Canis lupus familiaris: one gene and its partners. The protein of the gene in region 5 interacts with the protein of the main gene of each other region in a pairwise test. Links are inferred from orthologs where the notes say so. Each region holds a gene or a part of one and is shown on either strand. Other genes may lie near its edges.

The links. The genes of interacting proteins can lie anywhere in the genome.
Region 1: the proteins of TCL1A (region 5) and PRTFDC1 interact in binary tests that used the Homo sapiens proteins (3 or more experiments, as listed by UniProt). The two-hybrid records come from large-scale screens. The link is inferred for Canis lupus familiaris from reciprocal best matches to the Homo sapiens genes TCL1A and PRTFDC1.
Region 2: the proteins of TCL1A (region 5) and TTC33 interact in binary tests that used the Homo sapiens proteins (3 or more experiments, as listed by UniProt). The two-hybrid records come from large-scale screens. The link is inferred for Canis lupus familiaris from reciprocal best matches to the Homo sapiens genes TCL1A and TTC33.
Region 3: the proteins of TCL1A (region 5) and CARD9 interact in binary tests that used the Homo sapiens proteins (3 or more experiments, as listed by UniProt). The two-hybrid records come from large-scale screens. The link is inferred for Canis lupus familiaris from reciprocal best matches to the Homo sapiens genes TCL1A and CARD9.
Region 4: the proteins of TCL1A (region 5) and CADPS interact in a two-hybrid assay, tested with the Homo sapiens proteins (3 studies listed by BioGRID and IntAct). The two-hybrid records come from large-scale screens. The link is inferred for Canis lupus familiaris from reciprocal best matches to the Homo sapiens genes TCL1A and CADPS.

What each region holds. Positions count from the first base shown.
Region 1 is NC_049223.1:6,451,666-6,456,876, reverse strand, and holds part of PRTFDC1 (phosphoribosyltransferase domain-containing protein 1), read right to left. Parts: intron 4,103-5,211; coding exon 4,020-4,102; intron 3,531-4,019; coding exon 3,484-3,530; intron 527-3,483; coding exon 450-526; intron 1-449. UniProt on the Homo sapiens protein: Has low, barely detectable phosphoribosyltransferase activity (in vitro). Binds GMP, IMP and alpha-D-5-phosphoribosyl 1-pyrophosphate (PRPP). Is not expected to contribute to purine metabolism or GMP salvage.
Region 2 is NC_049225.1:69,538,810-69,544,061, reverse strand, and holds part of TTC33 (tetratricopeptide repeat protein 33), read right to left. Parts: intron 3,094-5,252; 5' UTR 3,093-3,093; coding exon 2,872-3,092; intron 1-2,871.
Region 3 is NC_049230.1:49,112,405-49,117,656, forward strand, and holds part of CARD9 (caspase recruitment domain-containing protein 9), read left to right. Parts: intron 1-460; 5' UTR 461-461; coding exon 462-699; intron 700-920; coding exon 921-1,058; intron 1,059-1,501; coding exon 1,502-1,806; intron 1,807-1,883; coding exon 1,884-2,063; intron 2,064-2,261; coding exon 2,262-2,405; intron 2,406-2,690; coding exon 2,691-2,816; intron 2,817-4,603; coding exon 4,604-4,795; intron 4,796-5,184; coding exon 5,185-5,226; intron 5,227-5,252. UniProt on the Homo sapiens protein: Adapter protein that plays a key role in innate immune response against fungi by forming signaling complexes downstream of C-type lectin receptors.
Region 4 is NC_049241.1:28,613,469-28,618,720, reverse strand, and holds part of CADPS (calcium-dependent secretion activator 1), read right to left. Parts: intron 2,350-5,252; coding exon 2,116-2,349; intron 1-2,115.
Region 5 is NC_049229.1:64,860,870-64,866,582, forward strand, and holds the start of TCL1A (T-cell leukemia/lymphoma protein 1A), read right to left. Parts: upstream 3,783-5,713; coding exon 3,663-3,782; intron 1,224-3,662; coding exon 1,053-1,223; intron 641-1,052; coding exon 584-640; 3' UTR 580-583; intron 36-579; 3' UTR 1-35. UniProt on the Homo sapiens protein: Enhances the phosphorylation and activation of AKT1, AKT2 and AKT3. Promotes nuclear translocation of AKT1. Enhances cell proliferation, stabilizes mitochondrial membrane potential and promotes cell survival.

The sequences.
Region 1 (5,211 bases), on a different chromosome or scaffold from region 5:
GGGGGTATAAACTGGGGGTCCATCTATATATGTTGAAACCATTTTGGAACGCCTAGGTGGCTCAGCAGTTGAACGTCTGCCTTCGGCTCAGGGCATGATCCCTGGGTCTTGGGATCGAGTCCTGCATCAGGCTCCTTGTAGGGAGCCTGCTTCTCCCTCTGCCTTTGTCTCTGTCTCTCTGTGTGTGTGTGTCTCTCATGAATAAATAAAATAAAATCCTTTTCTTTTCTTTTTTTTTTTTTAAAGAAACCATTTCTTATTCATAAGGCGAATAGTTAGAATTGTATACAGCTGTAATTGGGATTATGAATGCAGAGTGTCCGGAATATTTCTGATGCAGAACATACCTAATCAGTGGCAGCCATCATTACTACTATTTCAATAATTTGTTAAATTCATATAACTGTTATTTGTGAAAAGAAGGCTAGGGATTTGCATGCATGACTTACATTCAGATCTCTGAAGTATTCATTGTAATCTAAGGCATAACCCACGACAAATAAGTTCGGAATCTCAAATCCAACATCTGAGTAGGGAGAGAGAGAGAGAAAAAAAAGGAATAACATATAGATAACATAAGGAGAAAGCCATCATATGTTATAGTTGGCACTTACACTGTGAGGACCTTTCATTTAGGCAGAAGTGAGAAAAATGATAAGTAATGCATAGGATGAGCCCAATAGGACCTGGACCAGAGTGACGAGGCAGGAAGACAAGATAGACAAGCAAACATACAAGGAAGAATGGCTGTACTCCTACCACACGGAGCTAAGAGAGGGCTCAGATAGCCCAGGGGATAACAAGAAATATCTATGAGTTAGTCATATAGTCCCGCTGTTCCAAAGCAAGCAGTATCCAATGATATAATGCCAAAGGAAACACTTTGGAGCATAAAGTTCAGTTCAGACAGAAGGTATTCCAGTCCTCTGGTAGGTGACTAGGTGCACAGGCTTTTGCCGCCAGGAAGTGGTTCTCCCACTGTGCTCAGAGTCCTCAGCTGGATAAAGGGCAGAGAAGCAAAACCTGGGAGACAAGATGAAAGGAAGTGGGATTGTTTAGTGTGAGGAAGAGAACACTAAGGGTTATTCCAACACTAGTCTTTGAATCAAGGAGGCAGATGATATTAATTAGCTCTCTATCTCTATTCAGGGAAGAATGGAAATAAATGGATTTAAATGCAGTATGAGGTACTTAGGTTAAATAAAGGAAAATTTATTGTAAGGAAGATAATTTTTATGGAAAAGATAGTAGGAACAGAGAATAGCTCTCCTTCAGAGGTCTTGAAACAGAATAAATGTGCCTATGGTCCAGTGGTTTTTCAAACTCTAGTTATTTTGAATCTGTTTATTACAACATTGCAGATGAGAAATATTCTTGCTTACTTTCATGAAACTGTACTTTGGCATAGCCAGTGGACTTAGAGCATGGAGAAAGTTATCCCTCTGGTGAACTACTCACCACCATTTTGATCCCTATGACCAAAGATGCTTTCACATGGAGAAGGCAACTGATTCCTGCTTGCAGAAAGTGCTGGAGGTGAGACACTTACTTTCTAGAGGGGTTGCATTACATATTACTGATAAAGACCCTCCTTTGTCCCTCCAAACTGTAGGTTGCTTTGAGAAATATAATCAAAGAAGAGAAGCAAGAGCAGAAGAAAAGATGTCAGCGCATATAAAAGATGCCATTGAACATATGGGAAAGAGTCAATTATGAGAAAGGAATCAAAAGTATCAAGCCTCAGAAATCCATGGAAACGAAACAGAGATTCTGACCCAGCTAAAAGGATATCAGTAAATCCCAGAGAACCCAGGCTGTTACCACAATAATGACTCTACAGTAAATGGAGCAATCAATCCCTACAGTAGGCATGGCACCTCAGACTGAGAAAAGCCAATTCAGAAGGCCAAACCTTCAGAGCCGTCATGGAGTAGAAGAAGGATGCTGGACAGGGGAATGGTTAGGAATCAGAGTGACCTACGTCTAGTTGGTAAATGGATGCAGTTCCTACACTTCTATTTGCAACTGCGGTGTTACTTATAGATGTCATGCAAGAGCAAGGGCAGTGATCAGAACCAGACTGCCTGGGTCCAGTACTGATGCTACGCTTACAGCAATGTGACCTTCAAAAGCCATTGAATCTTGCTGTGTTCAATTTCCTCACCTGCAAAATGGGTATATCAGTAGCATCTACCTTGGATGAATGTGGTGAAGAGTAAATGTGTTAATCTCTGTGTAGCTCTTTAAAGAGTGTAGGGCCCATCATAACCTCTTACCAGTGTTACCTATTATTTTATTCATGTCGTTGCTGTAAGTGACACAAATCATCTGTAAGTAGTTGGCTATGTCTGAAGTGACTCTTTCAACTTCAGTTAAAATCTTATCTATATGGGATCTTACGTGATTTCCTTAGAAGATTTCTATTTCCTCACTTTGCCTGACTTTACTGCACCCAGATTATATTCCCCATGCCAGTAACTGGACAGAAACGTGCTGTTGGGTCTCTGTGCCCAGAAATGATGTTGTCTAGATTTAATACACCCAGCATAGATGAAACTTGTTTTAGAATAAAGAGTCACTGGCGAAATGTCATTGGCACATTACTCGGCCATAGTGTACTCCTCTTGCTCTGATGTTTTTTCAGCTTGCTGATGGGAACTGTAGCCAAATTATCCCAGAGGATTTAGAGCAAATGTAAGTTATAAAAAATCAAGCTGAAGTCTGCCTATATGAGTGAAAAAAAGTTGCCTCTAGTGTTAGAATAATAAATTATCAAGCTGCTTGTTTATTCTTCCTGGCTTTGGAACTATTTGTATTATCAGTAAAGTGCCCTGGATGAGCAAAGTCCTCCAGAACATATGTCCGAAGTCAAGTGTGAAGATGGTATCTGGAGATATTTGTTCTGCCAATTCTCTGTGTTACTGAACTTTTCTTTGAAGGTGATGGGAGAGGTGTCTCGGATTTCCCCTTCTGTGTGCTAAAATTCAGGCTTACTGAAGGTCAGCATTATGCATTGTCTGGTGACGGTTTCTGGAGGCAGTATGCGAATCCTTCTAACCCTTTATGATGCCCTCCCATGCCCGTCTGACACGGACAGTGGACAAGGCAGGGATCCTGTATGTCAGCCAGTCTGGCGGGGTCAAGTCTCCCTCTACCTCCCTGATACCCATTAGCTCAGTTTTTTAGCTTTACGGTACTATGGAAAACCCAAAAATGAAAATATCCAATGCACACGACAGAGTATCTGGGAAAAACGCAAACTGGAAATTTAAAAACCCTTATTGTAGAGGACTCTATCCTCCCAGCAAGGCTGGGGAGACCTTGAGAGATTTGTGGGACTATCAAACCTTAACAGCTTGTGCTTCATATGGAATACTGGCAAATAGGAAATCAGAGAGTCTTCAACATGAATCAACACCACCAGCCAACCAACCAACCAACCAACCAACCAACCAACAACCAACAAAAGCCAAAACCACTTACAGTCGGGTCTAAAGCCATCACTTCTAGGTGTTCTCTTCACTAACAAACTACCATTAAGAAAAAAAAGAAAGAACAAAGAAAAAAGCACTTAGTGATCCAGATAAAACTTCTGTGCATTGCAAATAGAACTAAACATCATTAAGATATGTATTTTCCCCCTGGAGCAAGTGGGGCACCATCACGGTCCCCTAATTCACCCTCCTGCTACTGTGGCACCACATCAGTGATTCTAGATAAAAGGAAGGGAGAGAGACTCTGGCACCAGGCTCAGCCAGCTGCTCCTGGAAGCCGCTAATGGAGGCACAGTAGCGAGAGACTCAGACACCTAGCAAAGCATGTCCTCTTCCCCTTCCTCTCTCTCAGGCCAGCAGTCAAATGGGCTATTTGTTCAGTGTGGTCAAGCCATAACACCCCAGGGCAAAGGGGTCACTGGTTTGGAATAGACTGCTCTCTTTGGAGACAACATCCTGTGTTAGCATCCTTCTCGGGCTTATGGGGAGATGCAGAAGCAACAATGATGTGAATGTCCTACTCACCTGGCTACCTTAATCATGTTGGGCTTGTATTTCTTTATGCTACTGAGTAGCACTTTCATGGTTTTCCCAGTTCCAACAACATCCTTTGCAAAGAGGACAGACAGATTCAGTTGAGCGCATTTGGGCAGCATGATAGATTTTTCATCCAGACAGATGATTGTACTCCTTATTAATAATGCATCATAATTAGAATTGCCATCAGATGGAGTCAAAGTAGGAAGCAGAGTTGGTTACATTTTTTAGACAGGTGCTTCTCTCTGAAGCCGGGTTTAGTGATGAATATTTCCTCTTGCAATCCTTGAACTGTGTTGAAAGCTACGTTCGGCCTTTGGAGCGCGTATGGGGCTGCTCACTGAGTACATTTGGCCTTGTGCATGCACATTCAAGGACTAAATCTGGCCTTGAGGTTATGCAACACAATACGGAACACATGAATTTTCATGGACATGGGATGTACAGCTGAATACCCTGAATGGATAAACACCTCCCCCTTGCCCTCCCCACTCAATAGGGGATTCTACGGCTGGGAAGTGAGATGTGTCTGGACGGCAGCTGGTGACAGCCTGTGAATTCTGAGGGTGCGAGGCTGCGGCGAGCCTCGGCTCATCTCTGCTGATGAGCTGCTGCACAATTAGAGGAGAATGGGCCGCAGAAGTGTATTGTCCTTGGGACAGAAATCAGCTGTCAGGAGCTGATTATCAAAACAACAGGTCTGAATTTAGCCAGGGTTGGGCAATTCGTTTGGCTAGAGGGCCTACTTCATGGGCTATGTCTGAGCCAGGAGGACTGCAGATACATATGGCACACACAGGCAATTGTGTAACAAAAGCTTGAAAACAGCTCCCTTGAATTTTTGCCAGCTGATAAGACAGGCGTGCTCTTGAAGGAAAAGTGGCCATGTGCTGTATTAAGTCCACGGCTGCCATAGGGCCCATTCTCTTTCATTTTTTTATTAGCAGAAAACGTAAATTAAATTATAGCTTTTTCTTGGATTGTCATTTTAAAATGGATTGTGTTTATGATTTGGTTGCTGAAGGTAGGATTGTTGGAAGTCATCAGAGGTCGCTAGCAAGAACATCGAATTAAGGGTGAAAAGAGTTCAAATCTTGGCTTTACTATTATATACATGTGGTTCTATTGGGCTAGTTTCCTCTTCTGTAAAAATGCCTGATTCGCAAATAGATGTAAGAAC
Region 2 (5,252 bases), on a different chromosome or scaffold from region 5:
ACTAGATTCCTTTTATTCTGTTTAGTTATCTTCTAAAGCTGTGTATATATTATTCCAAAACAAATGCTGACCAGCAACAAACTCCATCATTTCACAGTGTTCTCCATTCAAAATAAAACATCCAACCCAGCTGATTTTGGTGAAATGACTCAATGTTTTGACATGCAGGCAGAAAACAAGAGTTATTTTGTTTATCTACAAAGTTGCTATCTCTCTTGTACCACAGGAAATTCAGAGGGACTCCCATGGTAATAACCAAATTGCTTTTTCCTCCTGCACACTAGTGTGGTCTAGAGAAAAAGGCAAAAACAAAGTTAATGAACTTTTAACAGGCATTTACAGGAATTTCTAAAGATGTTTTATGGATGTTCTGAAAGTGATTTCATAAATGTGGAAAATTTATAGTGGGTTTTCTTCTGACTAAGACAGAATGCTCAATCTTGCACAGTTTTACAAAAAAACTAATACCACATGTAGAATTCACAATGTAAGATTAGGCTGTTAATTGCGCTTGATTGATATTTGTTTTCCATAATTGTTTTCCAATTTGAGGTGCTAATATACTATAGTTTAGGCACCGTTTGATGTTTTATATTAAAATATATTAATAAAAGATTACTCCAAGAATCAAAAATAAGAACAGACCTAGAAACTAAAATGTTGCTTCCTCAACTCTGACTCATTCATGACTAAAATGACTGACAAGGAATCTTATAACCACCCTGACCAATTTTAATTAAGGAAGAAGGAAAAAAAAATAGCTTTTTGTTCAGTACTACTTTTAATTTCTCAAATGTTTTATTACCACATAGAAGATACTAGTCAAAAGCACACAGGCCTGATTTTAGATCTCTAGGTGAGCTGAAGAGTGTTCTGTCCTAAACACAGACCTATTCAGATATTACTCCTGCTGACCATACATATAGCTTCTCAAAATCATCCTTAATGCAAAAAAAAAAACAAAAACAAAAAAAAAACCACTCCTCGTGATGATCAGTATAATTCTTTTTTTTATTATTTTTTAAAATTATTTATTTATTTATTCATGAGAAACACACACACACACACACAGAGGCAGAGACAAAGGCAGAAGGAGAAGCAGGCTCCATGCAGGGAGCCCTATGCGGGACTTGATCCCAGTTCTCCAGGATCACACCCTGGGCTGAAAGCAGCGCTAAACCGCTGAGCCACCCAGGCTGTCCAGTATAATTCTCTAATATATTTCCTTCACCAAGGATAAATGTTTCAAGATTTTTATTAAAATATGACTTTCAGCAGATATTAAACACAGAAAACATAGGCATGAGATCTTTCAAATGGCTCCATTGACAACAACCTGATGTTATTTCCTCTCAATATGATACAATAGAAAGTGCAAGATTGATTATTAAGTATTCTTGTCAAAAAGTTAATCGGAATCTAAATCAAATCTCCACACTTCAGTTTAGAAGAAATGCATGAGATAGGGGAACCAGTTAAATGACATCCATAAGGGATCAATCAAATAGAAAACTGGTCTAGACTCTTCAAAAATGCCAATGATAAAGTAGGGGACCTAAGTAAACGCTAAAGAGATATAATAACCAAATGAAATGTATGAGTTCTGATTGGATCCTGGTTTAAAAAAAAAAAAACTGTAAGAGACATTTCAGTGAAAATTAGAAAAATCTAAAAATGGACTGCATATTAGTGTTTAGTAAGAGGTATCTTTATTCTTTTAAGTAGCCTTCCTGCCTAACATGGGCTTGAACTCACAACCTAGAGATCAAGAGGGGTATGCTTCACTGACTGAGCTAGCCAGATGCCTCCAAATATTTTCATTCTTATAAAAAGCAGGCTAAATTAGGAAAGAGATGTCATTATGTCTACAACATACTTTGAAACAGATCACAAATTGTAAATTTACAATTACATACGTCAATGTATGTATATGTTGCACTGAAATAGATAAAGCAACTATTAGTAATTTTTGAATCTAGATAGAAAGAATACAAGGGCTAAACTGTTCTTTCAACCCTAATATTGATTTGAAATTTTTGAAAATAAAAATGTCTTTCTCTACCTCTAGGTTATAAAGATATCCTTCCATATTTTCTTTCATTCACTGTGTAGTTTTACATTTCACACTGAGATGTTTTTTAGCTCTGTAGAGTCCATCTTTGTATGTGGTATCAGGTACAGATCATTTTCTTTGCCTATATAGAGAATTCCAGCTCTCTCTATAGAATCTATGAACTAATGGGTCCAGACCCCATTGATTTGTGAAAGAATGATTTTTGGTCCCACTGAAAGACCTACCCAGAGACAGGGGAAAAGGAACAAGAAAGTACAAAAAAAAGGAAAATGGAAAACAGTGAAGGGTGATTAGGAAACGTATAAGAGCTTAGCTGAGGAAGGGCTGAGGATAAATGAAACTACTATCAAATTCCTGTGCACCTGCATTTATTGAAGTATACAAAAGCCAATGGAAAAGGATAACTGAACACCTCTTAAAAAAAAATACATGCCATCAAAGTCCTTCAGGAAACATCTAATTAGTCTGGTATATATAAGAACACGAGGACAAAGTTTCCAGAAATTAAACTATCTCCTACCAACCAATAACTTGGATTACATTTTACTTAGCGTTTACTCTTCTTCAGACAGGACAAAAATGACAGCAAAGCAGACATTCCAAGCATCTTAAAGACTCTTCTACAAACTTTCCGATTCCATGAAAATGTTTAAAGGTGTCTTTAAAACTTTTATTTATCTGATTAATTTAGCACCCAGATCAGATGTTTAAAACATGAATTTACAGATTCTTAACTCTTTGTCTCCTTACTGACAGCAATGTAAACTGTTCTCCATAAGAAAACTCTAAAAACATACCTTTTATTTTCAGCCAAACTAGCTCCTTCATCCTTCAGCTGCTTACTTTTCTCAGCACAGCCCTCAAGGAGAATTTCTTTCCTACGTTTAATGGCATGAAGCCAGTTTCCTTCTTCATTCTCAGCTACATCCTTCTCATCGGCAGCTTCAGCTTCAAATTGCTTGGAAGTGACCTTCGAGACCTTCTCACCAATTTTCCTCTTCCATCCAAAGGAAGCCATTCTGGAAAATTATTAAAAAAAACAGCTTTAAAATTCAAACTTGGCCTTTTGTAGAAGTTCTCCAAATTACAGATGAAAATGGGAGAACAGAATGAGACTGTCACCACTTTTTAAACACCTAATTAAGTAGTGGATCAAAGCAATAGTCAACAAAGGGTGCTAACATCATAAAGAAAGCCAATTGGACTATAGTATCTCCTGGTGAAAGTGCCATACCACCTATGGAGTACCTATGAAGGTCAAAAATTTTGACCTACGAAGTCAAAAATTAATCCTGAATCAGATCAAGCCTACCAAACTCTACCAAGTTATAAGAAACATGTGACATAGATGAGCATGCTAGATAACACATCAGAGATGAAGAAAGCAAATAACAAAAACTAAAGAAAAATAAAACTGGTTTCTTCAAAAAATAAACTTCCAGGGACAGAGAAAGATGGAGATAAAAAGAGACTTCAGAGACATACTAATCAAATATAATGCATGCATCTTGTTTAGCTCTGGATGTCAACAAACCAATGAGGAGGAAACATTTATGAAATAATAAGGAAATTAGAACACTGATTTGATATTTGATATTAAGGAATTACTGCTATTGTTGAAGCCATGATAATAGTATTATAATCAAGTTTATAATAAGAATGCTTATCTTTTAGAAACATATACTAAAATATGTCACATGAAATTATATGATAGCTAGAAATTGTTTCAAAGTGATCACCAAAGGTAGGGATGCAAGAGAGGAGAAATATAGAGGAAAAGATTGCTCTGGGCTGATAACCAATAAAGTTAGGTGATACGTATACAGGATTCCTTGTACTTTCCTTTCTCATACACATTTGAAATTTTCCACAATAAAAAGTTTTTAGGAGAGTCAAACTTGGTAAACAACTTAATTCACAAGAAAACTATTAGGTGAATTTAAAAGGTAACAAATGTTAAACTGTTTTGTAAATCAAAAGAAAGGATAAGAAAGAAAGGACAATTGATGGAACAATATTAAAGAAAACCAAAGAAACATTCAACAAGTATTTATTTAGAGAAGGGATTTACTGAGGGATCCAAGAATTCTTAGTAGTTACATGGATGTGCTTAAAGACATCGAGAAACTCCTGGAATTGTATGTAAATTTTTTCTATATCTATGTGCATTCTGGAGAAGGGTACCTAAGCTTTCATTCCGTTCTTAGGGAGTCTATATCCCTGAGGTGATTATGATCTACGGAGTAATCAACTAGGGGGATAAGAAAAAGCAATGAAGCAGAGGTCTTTATAAAATTATCAAAAAAAAATAAAAAAAAAAATAAAAAAAAAATTATCAAAGAATGGGCATTGTGATAGTAAGGGAGAGAGGGAAAAGAAATAGTGGATAGGTTCTAGCAGATGTCAGGTCTTCATTACTGATGCGCATGGCTGAAGTAAAATATAAAAGTCATCAACAGAAGGAAGGGGCCAAAAAAGATAAGGTGACTATGAAGTTATTCACATGGAAAGGCCTAAGATAGTGGCAGAACTTGGAGGGGTAAGAAAATTACAGGTCATGTGCCGAAGTTCCTAATGAATACAAGGAAGTTTCAATAAATTACAGCAATCAAGAAATACACAGGCAGATATGGGTGAACCACATATCTGAGAAGAGATTGCTCAAAAAGCCTAGAGGAGTAATGGATTATAAACTATACTAGGGAAAGGACAATGCCAATCTCTCTCCCCAGACCCATTATAAAATAGGAGAATGAGTTCCCTATGTTTGAAGATGATTCTAAATAACTTAGGGGGATCCCTGGGTGGCGCAGCGGTTTGGCGCCTGCCTTTGGCCCAGGGCGCGATCCTGGAGCCCCGGGATCGAATCCCACATCAGGCTCCCGGTGCATGGAGCCTGCTTCTCCCTCTGCCTGTGTCTCTGCCTCTCTCTCTCTCTGTAACTATCATAAATAAATAAAAATTTAAAAAAAAAAAAATAAAATAAATAAATAAATAAATAAATAAATAAATAAATAAATAAATAAATAAATAAATCACTTAGGGAAAGAGTCAAGAAATGGCTCAAAATGAAGTGTGGTTACTATGGAACAGAAGGCCCGAGGCACAGAGTGAAGACAATGTAAGAGAATAAATCATTAGGAAGGTCTCGGTAAGATTTCAGGATAATATATCTCGA
Region 3 (5,252 bases), on a different chromosome or scaffold from region 5:
CTGAGCAGGAGCCATGTCCAAGAAGGAGGAAGTCCTACAGCAGCACAGGCTGGCGTGTACGTGGGCAGGTCAATGCCCCAGGCGTGCCTCCCCAGCCTGGGCGCCTACCTCCCTGTACCTGCCAGGGAGGCCCTGCCAGTGGGTACGAGGTGGTGGTCTGCCAGACTCACGCTTTAGGGATGGGGGTGCAGAGGCCAGAACAAGGCCACAGTGGGGGGGGGGGTATTCTCAGATGCCGCCAGTCCCTGAAGCGCCTCCACATCTTCCCTCACACTTATCAGGGTGACTTGGACAGAGAAAGCCTAGGTCACCTGCTGAGGGAGTGGCTGCAGGGTCTAGAGAAGGCCGGGAGGGCTGCCCTGGCTGAGCTGGTGCCCCGGTCAGAGCACCAGCGCAGAGGAGGGAGGGCCAGGGCGGGTGAGGCTTCACACCTACCTGTCCTGGACTCCCCTGGGCCCAGCATGCAACTGTCCCTGCCAGCTGCTCTCCCACCAATCGCAGCGGTGGCCGCCACCATGTCAGACTATGAGAACGAAGACCAGTGCTGGAGTACCCTGGAGAGCTTCCGAGTGAAGCTCATCTCCGTCATCGACCCCTCGCGCATCACGCCCTACCTGAGGCAATGCAAGGTGCTGAACCCCGATGATGAGGAGCAGGTGCTCAGTGACCCCAACCTGGTCATCCGCAAGCGGAAAGTGGGTCAGTGCTGCCTCAGCCGGGAGCTTTGAGCACAGGAATGGGCGCTCCCCAGCACCCCACACCCTGTCCTGTCTGCTGGGAGCCGTGGTGCTTCCATGCACAGCAGACACCCCTGGGAGGGCAAGGGTGCGTGGGCAGCAGGTAGATCTTGACCTGGGCTGGGCCTATAGGAGCTCAGTGCACAAGCCCAGCCAGCCCCAGCCTGGCCCTGTGGGTTTCAGGAGTGCTCCTGGACATCCTGCAGCGGACCGGTCACAAGGGCTATGTGGCCTTCCTTGAGAGCCTGGAGCTGTACTACCCCCAGCTCTACAAGAAGGTCACGGGCAAGGAGCCCACCCGCGTCTTCTCCATGATCATCGGTGAGGCAGGGGGCCCCATGGGCAGGCTGGATGGCTGAGCTCCTGATGGATAAACTGGGGGCAAAAGGAAGTGTGAGGGTTGCATGGGAGTGCCAACAGCGGGGCCCCATGCTGCGCCTTCTCTCTGGTGGAGAAAAGGAGGACCCATGCAAGGAGGGCACAGAACCCCTCCATCTGACCCCACCAAAGCCCTGGCTCCCGGAAGGACTGGGTGCCCACCAGCCCTTATAACAGGAGAAGGGAGGGTAGGTACCTGGCCTCATTGCTGCTGTCCTGGAGGGCGGGAAGACAGTGGGGATGTTAAGTCAGGAGGTCAGCCCGCTTCCTCCATGGGGAGCATCAGCGCCGGGCCCTGTGTGCCTCGGAGTGGGTCCTCAAGGCTGAGGCCCAGGAAGGGGTGCAGTACGGAAGGGGATCCTCTGATGCGGCCTGGCCATCTGCAGACGCATCCGGGGAGTCAGGCCTGACGCAGCTGCTGATGAGCGAGGTGCTGAAGCTGCAGAGGAAGGTACAGGATCTGAGCCAGCTGCTCAGCTCCAAGGACGACCTCATCAAGGAGCTGCGGGTGAAGGACAGCCTGCTTCGCAAGCACCAGGAGCGCGTGCAGCGGCTCAAGGAGGAGTGCGAAGCTGGCAGCCACGAGCTCAAGCGCTGCAAGGACGAGAACTATGACCTGGCCATGCGCTTGGCCCGCCAGATTGAGGAGAAGGGGGCTGCGCTCATGCGCAGCCGCGACCTGCAGCTGGAGGTGTCCTGGCACCTGAGGCCGGGTTGGGGGTGGAGAGGTGCGGGGCGAGGCTGGCGGCTGATGGTGTCTCCTCACAGATTGAGCGGCTCAAGCACAGCCTCATGAAGGCAGAAGACGACTGCAGGGTGGAGCGCAGGCACACGCTGAAGCTCAGGCATGCCATGGAGCAGCGGCCCAGCCAGGAGCTGCTGTGGGAGCTGCAGCAGGAGAAGACGTTGTTGCAGGCCCGCGTACAGGAGCTGGAGGCCACAGTGCAGGTGAGGGGAGCCCAGGGCAGGAGCGGGGGGGCCTCGCGTGGGTGGGGCGGGCCCAGGGCAGGGGCCAGAGGTGGGTTCCTGTGCGAATGGGATAAGCACTTTTGGGAGCTGGAGAGATCTGGCAGGATGCTGGTGCCAAGAGCAGGGCCCCCTCGAGTCTAGCTGCCTTCCTGCCACTCTCCCCTTCACCACCCACAGGAGGGGAAACCAGACAGGAGCAGCCCCTACATCCAGGTGCTGGAGGAGGACTGGCGGCAGGCACTGCGCGGCCAGCAGGAGCAAGCCAGTACCATCCTCTCTCTGCGCAAGGACCTGCGGCAGGGGGAGGCCCTGCGTGCCCGGGTACGCAGCTGGGGCCGGTGGACATGAGCCTGGGCCAAGCCAGGCTGGGTGGGCTGAGGGACCACCCTGTGTTCACGCAGCCCCTGGGATCCACAGCCCTGCCTCACCCCTTCCTGGAGGTGCGGGGCCTTGGCCTCCCACCCCACTCCTGGCCTGCACTCCTACAGGATGGGCAGGCCCGGGCTTTGGGTTGGCAGGGACCCAGAGACTCAAGCAGCCTCCCTGTCAGCGGGGCCTGAGCAGGGGCCAGAATGGGCGGTGGGGGCTAGCTGCTGGCTCCCGTAGTGCATGGAGGAGAAGGAGATGTTCGAGCTGCAGTGCCTAGCCCTACGGAAGGACTCCAAGATGTACAAGGACCGCATCGAGGCCATCCTGCAGCAGATGGAGGAGGTTGCCATCGAGAGGGACCAGGTAGGCACCTCGCCGCTTCCTGCCTCATGCTGGCGAGGAGCAGCCCAGGGTGAGGGCACAGGTGGGGTGGGGGGATTCCCACAACTGTGGTGCCTTGCCCTTTTGCAGGAGGGCTGTCATCAGCTCTTGAAAAAACGTGAACAATCGTGAGGGTAACTCCTTCCCGTCCCCTGCCACCCCAGCCCACTGCCAGAAAAACTGCCCTGCTGGCAGGTCGTGCCTTCAGATTCTTTCTAGTGCACATACAGTTTCATTTTTGTCTTACAAAAATGGGAGCCGTCTTGTTTGGCAAACAGCATTTTGGGTTTCTGGTTTTGTTTTTTTTTTAAGATGTATTTATTTATTTGAGATGGAGAGGTGGCGGGGGGGGAGCACATGCACATGGTGGGGAGGGTCAAAGGGAAAGGGAACCTCAAGCAGACTCCCCGCTGAGTGGGGCTCAATCTCACAACCCTGAGATCACAACCTGAGCAGAAATTTTTAAAAAGATTTTATTTATTTATCTGATAGAGAAACAGAGCAAGAGAGGGGAGGAGAGGGAGGAGCAGGCTCCCTGCCGAGCAAGGAGCTCAACACGGGGCTCCATTCCAGGACCCCAGGATCATGACCCGAGCTGAAGGCAGACACTCCACTGACAGAGCCACCCAAGCACCCTTAAAATAGCTTTTTTGACTTAAAAAACTCTTGGGTGGGACACCTAGGTGGCTCAACAGTTGAGGGCTCCCTGCAGGGAGTCTGCTTCTCCCTCTGCTTGTCTCTGCCCCTCTTTCTGTGTCTTTCATGAATAAATAAATAAAATATTTAAAAAACAAAACAAAACAACAAAAAACCCCAAACCCTTGTCACTTTGGCTGGCTGTGCTCCTGGGAACTGGAGGCAGAAGCGGCCTCTTTCTCGTCAGCACCAGGGTTTTTCTGATCAGTGTCAGTCGGTGCTTTGGCAACACTCTGGAGGGACTGGAAGCCTGCTCAGAGCCTCTAGCCTTGCAGTTACCCATCTGAATGCCTCTGGTGGGGATGACGGTGTGCAGAGAAAGCACGGTGCTAGGGTCGTGGTGCCAGGGTGTGGTGCCTGGTCCCTGTTGCCAGGGAGCTGCCTGGAGGCCACAGGCAGGGAAGAGCAGGGAAGCAGTGCTCCCACCTTCCCTGGGGGAGGCAGAAGAAGGGAGGGTGCTGTGCCACCAAAGGCAGGCTGCCAGCCAGGGATGCTGGGGCCCAGCAGCCCAGGTGAACGGGTAGGCTTCTCTTCGGGTGTCCCTGGTGGGCAACAGGAAAGGAAGGCAATTCTCAGTGATTCCTCAAGTTCTGGCCATTGAGGGCCGAGGGCTCTAGGGCTGGGTTGGCCTCCAGGCAGGGGCCGGCTGCTTGCAGCTGCCACCCTGCTCCAGGCCTGGGCACGTAGGCAGCTGGCTGACTCCGGCTATGGGTCAGAGCTGCGTCAGGTGTGCTCTGGTCAGTGTGCCGTGTCCCCCAGAGGGACAGCCGTGATGAAGGATGTAACACAGCTGCCAACAGCCATATTCCTGATCCCACCGCTAAGTGCCGTGGAGGGTAGAAGCACGGGCTGGATGTGCGGTGGGGTGGAGGGCTCGGAGATCAGAGCTGGAGGTTTCATCTCCACCTCCCATTGGAAGCTGTTATTACTACACAAACCCTCAAGCACTACACAGGCAGAGGGAGAAGCAGACTCCCTGCAGGAAGCTCTCAACTGTTGTGCTGAGAGGCGGGGGTGGTCCTGGGGGTCTCCAGCAACCACCCAGCCCACCCTGAGCCATCCTGTCCACACAGGCCATTGCCACACGGGAGGAGCTGCATGCACAGCACTCGCGGAGCCTGCAGGAGAAGGACACGTTGCGGAAGCAGGTCCGGGAGCTGGCAGAGAAGGCAGACGAGCTGCAGCTGCAACTGTTCCAGCGCGAGGGCCAGCTGCTAGCTCTGGAGGGCAGGCTCAAGCGGCAGCAGCTGGACATGCTCGTGCTGGTGGGCCTCCCAAGGGCTGTGGGCCTTTGTAGCGCCCGCTGGTCAGAGATGCAGCCACAGTAGAACACAGGATAGGCCCTCAGATGCCAGCGTGTCCCCGAGACACCAGAGCCCAGAGGCAGGGACGCTGGTCAGCCCAGGGCCAGGCCTGGCTTGGAGATTGCTCCACGGGGGGGCCTGGGCAGGTCCCAAGCCTTTCCCAGGCCCCCCTCTCCTTCTGGGGAGCCTGGGGGTGTGGCACATCTCAGGGCCTGGCAGGCCACTTTGGGTGTCATGAGGAGGAGGGAGGGGTGTTCTGGCCTGGGACCCCTCGCTGTGCCCCACCTTATGCCGACCCTGGGGGTGGCTGGGTTTCCTGTTTGCTGACTGACTCCTCTCTGTGACCACAGAGCTCTGACCTGGATGACAGCTCACCCAGGAACTCTCAGGAGGTGAGTACGCCCCCCAGGGTGGGCTC
Region 4 (5,252 bases), on a different chromosome or scaffold from region 5:
AGATGATGGTCCTCTATCTCCCTCTTCTTGCCACCCTCACTGTCGCACCCAACATACAGATGCACAATGAGTTTGCTGACAGTTTTAGTATATGTGCAATTTAGTGTTCCAAGTAAAGAGTATTTGGGAACCCGAGGGCATTTCATTCTGTGCTTATGCTTGCAAGTTAAAGCCTGTTTGAATCATGTACACATGGGAGTATGGTTGGGGACTCACTCACATCTATATTTCAGATAATCAGCTGTATAATATTGAGTAGTGATAAAGAATTAGGAAATTATAGATTTAAAAACTTCATGAAAATCAATAAACCACTTTTTTCCCACTTTCTGTAGAAAGACAAGAGGCAATAGGGAATAAATTGCCACCTCTAATTGGCAATAATCAAATTCAAAGACACCTAAGAAAAAAGCACTCAGTACCTCAGGTGGCGGTATTAAAAAAGAAAGAAAGGAAGTTTCTGTGAAATTACACTGATGATTTTTTCACACACCAAGTGCTCTATATTTAACTGAATACTGCCACTTCCAATTGCAAAATACATGTTGAAAACACTATGACTATCTTGATCCGAACTAAGCACAGTAAAACAAATTATCTGCAGTTAATTCACAGCAAGCCTTAATGATGTTCTAGAAAATTAATTTAGTCTTTACAAATCCTAATTAAATCTACAGAAATTTGATCTATTCTCTTGGTCTCCCCAAATCTAGGTCTATCATAAAATCCTTGTGGGGTTCTGAGCTTTAATAAGTTGTGAATGGTTCTCAACTTTGGAGGGCATAAGAAGCACCTGGGTGGCTCATTAAAATGGTAATGGTAATGGTAATTTCATGGTAAACTCCACCCAGAGGTTCTTTTTTTTTTTTTTTTTTTACCTCATTGAAGCATATTTTACATATCTTATAATTAACCCATTTCAAGTGTACAATGCAATGATTTTAGTAACTTTACTAAGTTGAATGACTATCATTATAAATTAGTTTTAGAACATTTTTTATCTCCCCCAGTAATGTCCCTAATGTCCGTTTCTACCTTCTGCCCCAGGCAACACTAATCTAACTTCTGTTTCTGAAGACTCGCGTCTTCTAGATATTTTATATCAATGGAATCAAACAACATGTGTCTCTTGTGTCTGGCTTCTTTCACTAAGCAGAATGTTTTTGACTTATCTAAATCAAAGCATACATCTGTAGTTTGTTTCTATCAATTGCTAAGTAGTAACCCCTTGTATGGATGTACTGCATTTTGTCTATTTACCCTTGGATACATATTTAGGTTGTTTCTATTTTTGGCTAGTAAGAATAATGCTGCTATAAACATTTTGGGAGCAAGATTTTATGGGCAAATGTGTTTTCATTTCTCTTGGGTAGATATCTAAGAGTAAAGTTGTACTCTACACCTGGTAATTTTATGTTTAACTTTTTGAGAAACTAACAAACTCTTCTCCAAAGTGACTGGACCATGTTGTACTCCCCCACCCCCGTTAAGATTTGAATCAATAGGTCTGGGTGATGTCAGGAATCTGCACACTGAACCAGCTTCCCGGGCAATTCCAACATAGCCAGATCAGATCCACTCCCTAAATTATACGTATGAAAGGCAAACGTGTGAATAGAAGTTATAAAGAAATTTATTGACATGTGGAGCATTCTGCCACAGTCCAGTCTGAACCGGTTCTTTCTTTGAGTGATGAAGTCAACTGAAAAGGCTCCACTGCAACAAGAGGACCTCTATCATGTAGCCAACAGGAGAGATGACAAGAAAGAAAATCTACAATGCACCAAATGATGCTAGATATTTCCCCTCATAACTGTGACACAGGATGCCAAAATTTTAAACTTTCTAAATTGTATAAGGTCTTCACAATATCCTTGAGCGCTACTTTAAGATGGAAAATAATGCAAGATTAAATTTAGGAGGTGATTCTTAAGACTGCATTTCCTTAAGGAAAGCATGGGAGATGGGGAATCACTTGCTGATTAGTTGACCTATGCTTAGCAAGCTGTTATTTTAATAACTGCTCCTGGGGTGCAAGGAGGAAAGCAAGCTGATCTAATCACCCAAATCCTGTGGGCTGTGGCAGGAAACTTTCAAGGGTTTAGGGCTTTTTACCTCCAGGGAGAAAGACAGCACGACGTCTGACTTGGAGAGCTGGTTCTCACTCTCCTCGCCCATGTCGATGATAGAAGCGTTGTGGCTGCGTTTGAGTTTCTGAAGCTTGAACTCGCCGCCTTTGGACACTGGCATGCTCTCCAAATTGGCCATGAGAAGGTTGACTGATGACTTCAGCTCCTCAATGTACATGTTTTCCATTTCTTTGGATACAAACTTGGGAAATTTGCGCTCCTTATCAAGAAAAAGAAAAGTATGAACAGAGGAGTAAATAGAGACCTGATTTATACAGAAGGTTTTCACCTTACAGCCCAGAGTTATAATAATATCTACCATTAGTGAAATTGGCTCAGATATTGTGGCATTGTGCTAGAAAAATGTTCAATTTAGTTGAGTAGATGGCTGACTGCCTTCTGGTTATTTACAATCTCTGACAGGTAAGAGATATATACATAAACCTATAGTAAGAAAGAGTCAAATGTTTTATTGTAGTGCAATCACCGCCCCCCCCCCCCATTTTCTCCAGCAAATTTGATTTGTGGAAAGAAAAATGGGGTGATATTTTTTTAAAATCTGGTTTCAGTTGAAATGGTTTTTCTTTTTAGCAAAATGCAATCAGTTGTTTTTAAGTTTGGAGACAGAAAGACACCCTATTTCTGGATACGTAGAGATTTTCTCACATGAATAATTCAAGAGGAGCTCATTTGAGATGTTTCAAACATAGCCTGTAGCTATTTCTAAAAGGAATAGTAGAAAGAATAGTTACTGTTTTCAAGAAAAATTGAAAAAAATTAATGAAGTGATGAAAAACATGATTAAAATTCTTTAGAAAAGAAGATAAAGCAATTCAGAACTGACCTCTATTTTTTCCTTCCTTGCTTATGAGTTCAGGTTGTAATAGTAACATGCTTTAGTCATGCTATTTGCTTCTTTAAACCTCTAAGTTGCCCGACTGCCTTGAATAGGCTCTGAATTGATCACCTTTTCAAGAATCATTTCTCACTTGAAACATGAACTTGCCCTCCTTAGCCTTGGCCCGTACTGATCAGGTGAGGGGCAAGCCATATCAGTTTGGCTTTTTTTTTTTTCTTTTTTTTTTTGTAAGTGATAGAAAAATCTAACTTGGAACTGATTTAAACAATGAAGGGAATTTATTGGTTTGAAATGTCCTGGGGTGGACCAGTTTCCAGCGAGGCTGGAATCAGGACTCAGATGATACCACCACAACTGAATTTTTCCTCCAAATCTTGGTTTGGGTTCCTTTGGGCTAGCCCCATGCTCACTCTGGCTCCCCTTAATGTCACAAAAAGGTTGCTAGAGATCTCTACCTTATCATATGACATCATGTTATCTAAAGGACGGTGAATATCTCCTCTTGTAATGTCTTTTATCTCAAAGTTCTCACCCAAAGTCTGACTTATGTACATAACCTGAGCCACCTTTTATGGCTGGTGACATGTTATGTTGAGTTGCTTAGGTATGAGTTATATCCTTCATCCAAGTGGGTAAGGGTAGAATTCCACCTGGATCACATGGGACATGAGTTGGTTTGCCAATTCTGGGTGGCAAAAAAAAAAAAAAAAAGATGTGTAGTACATGGACATCTGACCCCAGTCAACCAACTAATTCAATTCAGTGGCCAATGATCAACCAGATTTACTCTTTCAGGCAAATGAACGGAGAGGTATTGAGATTGTAATTAGCAGTGGAGTGAAATAGCAAGATCATGTAGACTCATGGGTAGCTGCCATATTGGAATAGGTGAAAGAATAAGACATTTGACAAAGAAGAGAAAGAGGTAGAGAAAGGATAGAGGTAGAGAAAGGATAGAGGTAGAGACTAGCAGAGGGAGGAAGAAAAAATGGGAAGGCAGGATGAAGGGAAGAAGAGAAAAGAAGTTATTTAGAGTCACAGAAAGAAACTCTTTTATTGGTTTTCCAATTCTCATAGAGACCACCTATTCCTCCTATTGGCTACTTTGAGATTCTTTTGTTTTCCTTTCAATAACTGCCCCCCTCCACACACACATACTAGTTAGCTAGAAGGATATTTCTTTCTTGCTACCATATAGTAAATTCTCTGAATAGAGTTTGGAGATGCCTTTGTGTTATGTCAGTCTTCTTCGTATCTAGGGGCTATCATAAGTGTTCCCCTTACCCCCTTGCTCCCTAAGTATATCTCAGCCATCTTGTCATCTTCTATATTTCAGCCTCAAAATTTTATTTCCCTAGGTTGAATCCCCTTGTTCTACTTTTTTATAATACCTAGGTAAACTTCATGGTGATATTTATTACAATTAATGGAAATAGTGAAATTTATTTGTTTGTTGTTTATCTTTCCTGCTGGGCTATGAGGTCTGTCTTAATACCCTTAGTGAATTATTATCGTCTAGAATAATTTTTGGCACATAGTAAATACTTAATATATGTGAGTTGAGTGAATAATGGATGGCCTGTCAAAATGTCCATATTAAGTATCAATGCAGCTAAAACTCAGTCATGAGGTGGCAGTGGACAGTTGATGAAATAGTTCTGGAAGAACAGTGAGATTCTATTTTTCCATGTAAATGAGCACAGGTTGTGGAAATCTACCCAGCAGCCTTTGAGTACTGGTTCCTTCTGGAGCCTCTTAGTATAATGATTTCCTGGTTTTTGGCTGGGTTCAGTCCACCATGAGGTGCTTTCTAAACACACTGTGGGTGGAAGTAGGAGGAGAAGCAGGACGGAAGCCTCTGAAATAACACGATAGGTTGATGAGCTCAATAAGAGCTAGTAATGATCAAGGAAAGAATCTTACTTCTTCAAAGCTGTTGCACAGGGGGCTTCCTTTTGCTTCTTATCATTCTTGGACTCAATCAGGGATAACTATGAGCCATAGGATTTGGGTAGACTTTATGAAAAGGCCATGGAGATGTGAGAACTTGGCTGCTGGTCCACCATAACTTAGAAAATATTTACTACCACCAACACTGTGCCTGGTTTAGTGTTAGGCACTGAGAGGATCATGATGAAAGGATGTGGACTATTTCCCTGAAGCTTACAACCACTGGGGAGAAAGATCTATTGAGGAAACATCAAGGCAGATGCTGTAACAGCAGTGTATGAGACATGAACACTTGCTGAGAGAATCAGGATTGG
Region 5 (5,713 bases):
GGGATGCAGGAGGAGACAGGAGCGCGGGACCTGGGCTAAGAGAAGACAGAGTCAAAGGCAAAGGGGAGGATGTGGCACGGGCGAGGGCCGGGGTGGAGGGTGGGTGCGAGCGGAGCTGCTGGGGGGAGTCTGGACGGGGAGCTTGGGGGTCGGCCTGGGCCCCCAGGGCTGAGCCCCTGCGTCTGAGCCAGGGCAGATGACCAAGAGAGCGAGAGGCCTGGTGTCAGCGCACTGGGATTGGGAACCCGGCTCTGTGACCTGCCCCAGTTATGGTGCTTCCTCGAGGCTCGTTTTTGTAACCTAGGAAATCGAGTAATTCCCAGCTCAGTCGAGGTGATGATCAAGTGGGAGCACCCATAACGTGAGAGGCGCTGTACAGACGTGCACCCCTGCGGGGAAGGGGGCCGCGGACAACTGACTAGCCCCCAGTGTGGTAATGGGGAGAGCAGGGACCCTGAGACCCTCAGAGGACAGTTCCGTCGGGGTGGGAGTCAGCACTGCCTTCATGCGAGAAGGGTGGTCCTTCATCCCGACCTGGGCACTCTGGACCAACAGGTGCTGGGCCCCGAAGGTACTCACCTGGTCACTCATCCTCCAGGTCTGGCAGCTGCTCCAGGAGCATGTCCTCCATGCCACTGAGCTGCACGGGAGAAGCGGGTGAGAGGCCCGGGCCCTAGGAAGTCTCCTTCCATCCTTCTATTCCTGCCTCCCGGGCCTTCCAGGAGCTCGGAGCAGCAGGCAGGAACCTGCCTGGGGGCGGGGGATTCGAGGAGCCCCTCCTCCCACCAGCCTTCACCCCCTGACTGCCCATCCGAGAGGCCTCCCTGTGGCTGAGACCTCAGAAGGTGGCCCAGTCAATGTCTTCTGATGTCTCCCCAGTCCAATCCTTGAAAAACCTGCAGTTGTAAACTCCTACTTGTTTAGCTTTTGGTGAGAGATGGAGGGAATGGATTGACCTCAGAGGCCAGACATGGGGGCCTGGGGGAGGCGAGGAGGACAGGACAGGCCCACCCAAGATGACTCGACGGTGTCCAGGAGGAGGACACACTTGCCTCAATGTGGTACACTATGCGCCAGAAACTGGAGTCTGAGCCTCGGTATCTTCTTCCAGGGTAGAGCTGCCACATGGAAGGCAGCAGGCATGGGGCTAGCAGGCTGGGGCACATGGCCTCCCCTAGGGGGACATCTTCCTGACGCATGAGTACCTGGAGGCTGCTCTCCGTCTGAAGGGAAGGGAAGACCAGGGCATGCCTTCAGGGCCCAGGCTCCCCAGCACCCAAATACCCAGGGTCCTTCCTGCCACCCTCACGGCCCAGCTGACATCTGAAATGCTGGCGATCACTCTTCCCAGCAACTTCACCCCTTGCGCCATGCATGCCCCTCTCAGGCATCGGGCCAGGCGGAGATGACCGGCACTTACATGAGTCTAGACACCCAGACGGGGCCACACCAGGCCCACGTCTTCCTGACAAACTGAACATTCGTCCCTGAGCTTCCTTAGCTGCAGTTTCTTTGATTCTTCTTTATTTTGTCACAGAGCCCAGCCCCTTTTATTTATTCATTAAAAAAAAATTTTTTTTAAGTAATCTCTACACCCAACACGGGGCTTGAACCCACAACCCTGAGATCAGGAGTCGCTTGCCCCACCGACTGAGCCAGCCAGGTGCCCACAAATGCCCCATTGAAACAAATTTCCCCAGCACCCACAATCAGGTGAGAGACCACTTTTCCCCATCTCCACCAGTGCCCCTCTACTGCAGTAAGCTAACCTGCCACCTCGTTGGTCATGTGCCCCACGATCAGCTCACAGCACAGCAGCCAGGGTGTGCGTCTAAAAATCATGTCACCTCCTGTTTGACACCCTCCAGTGGCTTCTCATTGTGGGCAGAAGAAACTGCAGCCTTTACCATGGTCCACAGACCCACTAATGTGGGCCCGTGCCTCCCTCATCTCTTCAGTCCTCCACCTCCCACCCTGTTCCTCCACCTCCCACAAAGGCCTTCTTGCTCTTTCCAGGACATGCCACATCCCCAGTAATCTCTTGCATCTGTGGTCCTCTGCCTGGAACATTCTCGCTGAGATCTACACGCGGCTCACACCCTTCCTTAGATAGGTTTCTGCACAACTTTTTATCTACAGGGACAAATTTCTGCAAAATCCAGCTCTATGAAATACACATGAGGCCCGCATATCTAAAAGTGAGACTTACAAAGGTTTCAAATAAAATGATTGGACAAAAGCATGACAAACAAATGCAAATTAATTCTCTGACGGGGTCTTGCCTGTAGACCCCACGCCACTCGTTACTGCCTCTCATCCTTACACAACTTACCACCAGCTTCAATTATTTTATTGTTCTGCACCCCTCAGCAAGCATCAGCTTGCTGAGTAGCAGGATTTTATCACATTCCCCACAAAACCTCATAGCCTGGAAAGCAGGCTGGGTCTATAAACTAGGCATTCGTGTCTGCTCAAGAACTACTTTTCCAAAGTGGAAATCATTTTTTGTTTTTTGTTTTTAATTTGTTTTTTGTTTTTAATTTCCCATCTATGAGATAAATTAGAATTGTTAAATAATTCAGATCATCCTGCAAGATATGAGTGGAAATCACCATTCTTGCTGTGTTCGTTTATAGTTTTCTAGAGCCTCTAGACCACTTTTAGTCTGCGTGTTCATTTTTTTCTTATTTTTTTTTATTTTTTTTTTAAATTTATTTATGATAGTCACACAGAGAGAGAGAGAGAGGCAGAGACACAGGCAGAGGGAGAAGCAGGCTTCATGCACCGGGAGCCCGACGTGGGATTCGATTCCGGGACTCCAGGATCGCGCCCCGGGCCAAAGGCAGGTGCTAAACCGCTGAGCCACCCAGGGATCCCTTCTTATTGGTTTTAAGTCAATCTTTACATATTAAGGGCAGCCCCGGTGGCTCAGCGGTTTAGCACGGCCTGCAGCCCAGGGTGTGATCCTGGAGTCCCGGAATCGAGTCCCATGTAGGGCTCCCTGCATGGAGCCTGCTTCTCCCTCTGCCTCTCTCTCTCTGTCTTTTGTGAATAAATAAATAAAATCTTAAAAAAAAACTTTACAGGGATCCCTGGGTGGCGCCGCGGTTTGGCGCCTGCCTTTGGCCCAGGGCGCGATCCTGGGGACCCCGGATCGAATCCCATGTCGGGCTCTCGGTGCATGGAGCCTGCTTCTCCCTCTGCCTGTGTCTCTGCCTCTCTCTCTCTCTCCCTCTGTTACTATCATAAATAAATAAAAATTAAAAAAAAAAAAACTTTACATATTAAGAAAACAGGCCCTTTCAATCACATGGACACAAAGCCTGCCCCACATTGGGCTAGGGGTATGTTTCACGCAGGATCTATGAGGACAATGCAAAAACCTCCACTTTGTGGTCTTGGTGTCCTGTGCCCTAACCAGAGATTTAAATGCCAAGAGACACGGTGGTGGGGACCTGGGATTCCAGGCCTCTCACATCCTGCAGAGCTACCATAATATTTTTTTTTTATCTTTGTTCCTAATTCGGCGTCTGCACCGCTGCGTTCCGGGTGAAGCAGGCTCCGCTGCCCCCCACCCCCCCGCCCGCCCCTGGGAGTCGGGGCAGGTGGTCCCACCCCGGATGCCCACGCCGCGCGCCCGGCCCGCCCCGGGGCGGCTGTACCTCGATGGTTACGGGCAGCCAGGTGCGCTGGTTCTCGTCCACGTACACGGACGTCTCCCAGATCCACAGGTGGTCCGGGTGCAAGGCCGCGTGCGCCCTGAAGAACGGGAGCTCGCCCATGGCGCCCCGGGGCACGGGCGCGGGAGCCTCTGCAGCGCGGGAGCCCCTGCAGCGCGGGGTCGGGTGGGTCGCGGTGCGCGCGGGCGCCCCCGGGCGGCGGGGTGGGAGGGGCCGGGGGGGCGGGGAGGGGCGGGGCCGCGGGCGGGTCTGCAGCTGGACCTGCAGGGGGGCGCCCTGGCCAGGCCTGGGCTCCGGCTGTCCCCCCCTCCCCGCTCCCCGCTGCTGCTGGGGAGCCACCCCCTTGTCCGTGCCAAAGGCCTCTCGGCTCTCCGGGGCGCCCAGACCCCACTGTCCGAGCCCGCCACCGCGTGTGTGTGGCTGCTCACGTCCCACTAGAGACCGGGACGCCAGGCCGCTGCTGGGAACTCACAGTCGATGCCAGGCAACCCAGAGCCGGGCCCCCCTGCACATCTTCCCGGATCATGCGAGCCTGAACGAAGCCTGGACCCTCCCAGGTCCAAGCATCCCCTTCAGCCTCTGGATGGGGTGTCCGACTCGGTCTCCTTGGCCAAGTGCTACTCATGAAGCCCCGACACCCCACTCACCCCCACCCCCCTCCGCAAACACATTTTCCACGGCTTTGATGATGGTGTGGTCATCTAATAGCTATTGTGAAACACGATGGTGAAGAAACATGGGTTTTTTTTTCCCCTTTATAGGCTTTGAATTCATTGCTGAGCACATCCTTCAAAATGAATGCTTGAAAAGAATCCCTTCTCTCCGCCCCAAGATCAATGGAATTGAAAAGTCCCTGGGTTTCATGATCAAACCGGCTCTCTGTGAATTACAGCAAACAAGGAAAACAATGTCACTTCATTTTGCAGTACACCGCATGCCCATTAAGGCAATTAAGAAAATAAAGTACAATGAGAAACATGTAAAGCGAGGCCCGGCCTCGTTGCTCAAGCATCACCCCTGGCTGCAGTGTGGTGCTTCACCTTCCAGCTCCTTCCTGACTCTCTGCCCAGGCACTAAGAAAATACTCTGTGATCTTTCGAGATATCACAGAAATGAAAATGAGCTTAACCCTGATCCTCTGACAGCAAAGGTATGTATGTGCTGCTCTGCCCACTCCAAACAACCTAATTCCCAAGAAAGTGCTGAGGTGGCCTACAGTAATGGAGATAAATATATAATTGGATTTACCAGGAACACAAAAAGAGGAGACAAAACCCAAGCCAAGGTGGAGTGGAGGAGGCAGACGGGAGCCCAGCAAACCTCCTTCCCGGAGCAGCCTCTGGTGGTGCTGGTATTTCATATTCAGACTCGTGGCATTCAGAGTGATTTCCCAGTGGTTGGTTCTTAATTCCAGACCCAGGTAGCCACTGGGAGCAAGATAGTATGGTAATGGCTGGGGAATCTCAGCCCTGTCCTGAGCTTTGAGGTCAGAAACGGTGGTAACAAGTCTGGCTTAGACAGTGTGGCAAGGGAAGGAGGTAGCTAGGAGCCCGCGTGGCCACTGACCCAGCCACATCGAGGACCCCAGGACCCAGAAGGCCGATTTCTGGGGTCTGCCGATTTCATTACCACTCCTTCTGCTCTTCAGAGAGGCCACAATAGTAACAAGTAACAGAACAAGAATCACACTCCTTTGCCTGAATATCCTTCTGAATGTCCTGGGAATACATATGATCCTTACACCCCCCAGAGTCCTTTGAAAGAACAATATATGTCTTCAGCGTTGCATGAGAGCTTCTTAATATTGAGCAAGAGTGTACATCATTCTTGTGTAGGATTTAGCGAATCACTTGAGAGGGGATTCCAAAACATGAAAGTGGCACAAGATGACTGAGGAGTTCATGGGGCAGCATCGGGGGAAGGGGGCTGGGGTCTTCTTTATGGAAATCCATGAGAAAGGAATAGCTTCTGTGTGGTCTAATGGACAGGCAAGCTCTCCAGCATAAAATCTACCCCATTTTAGGGGTCAGAGG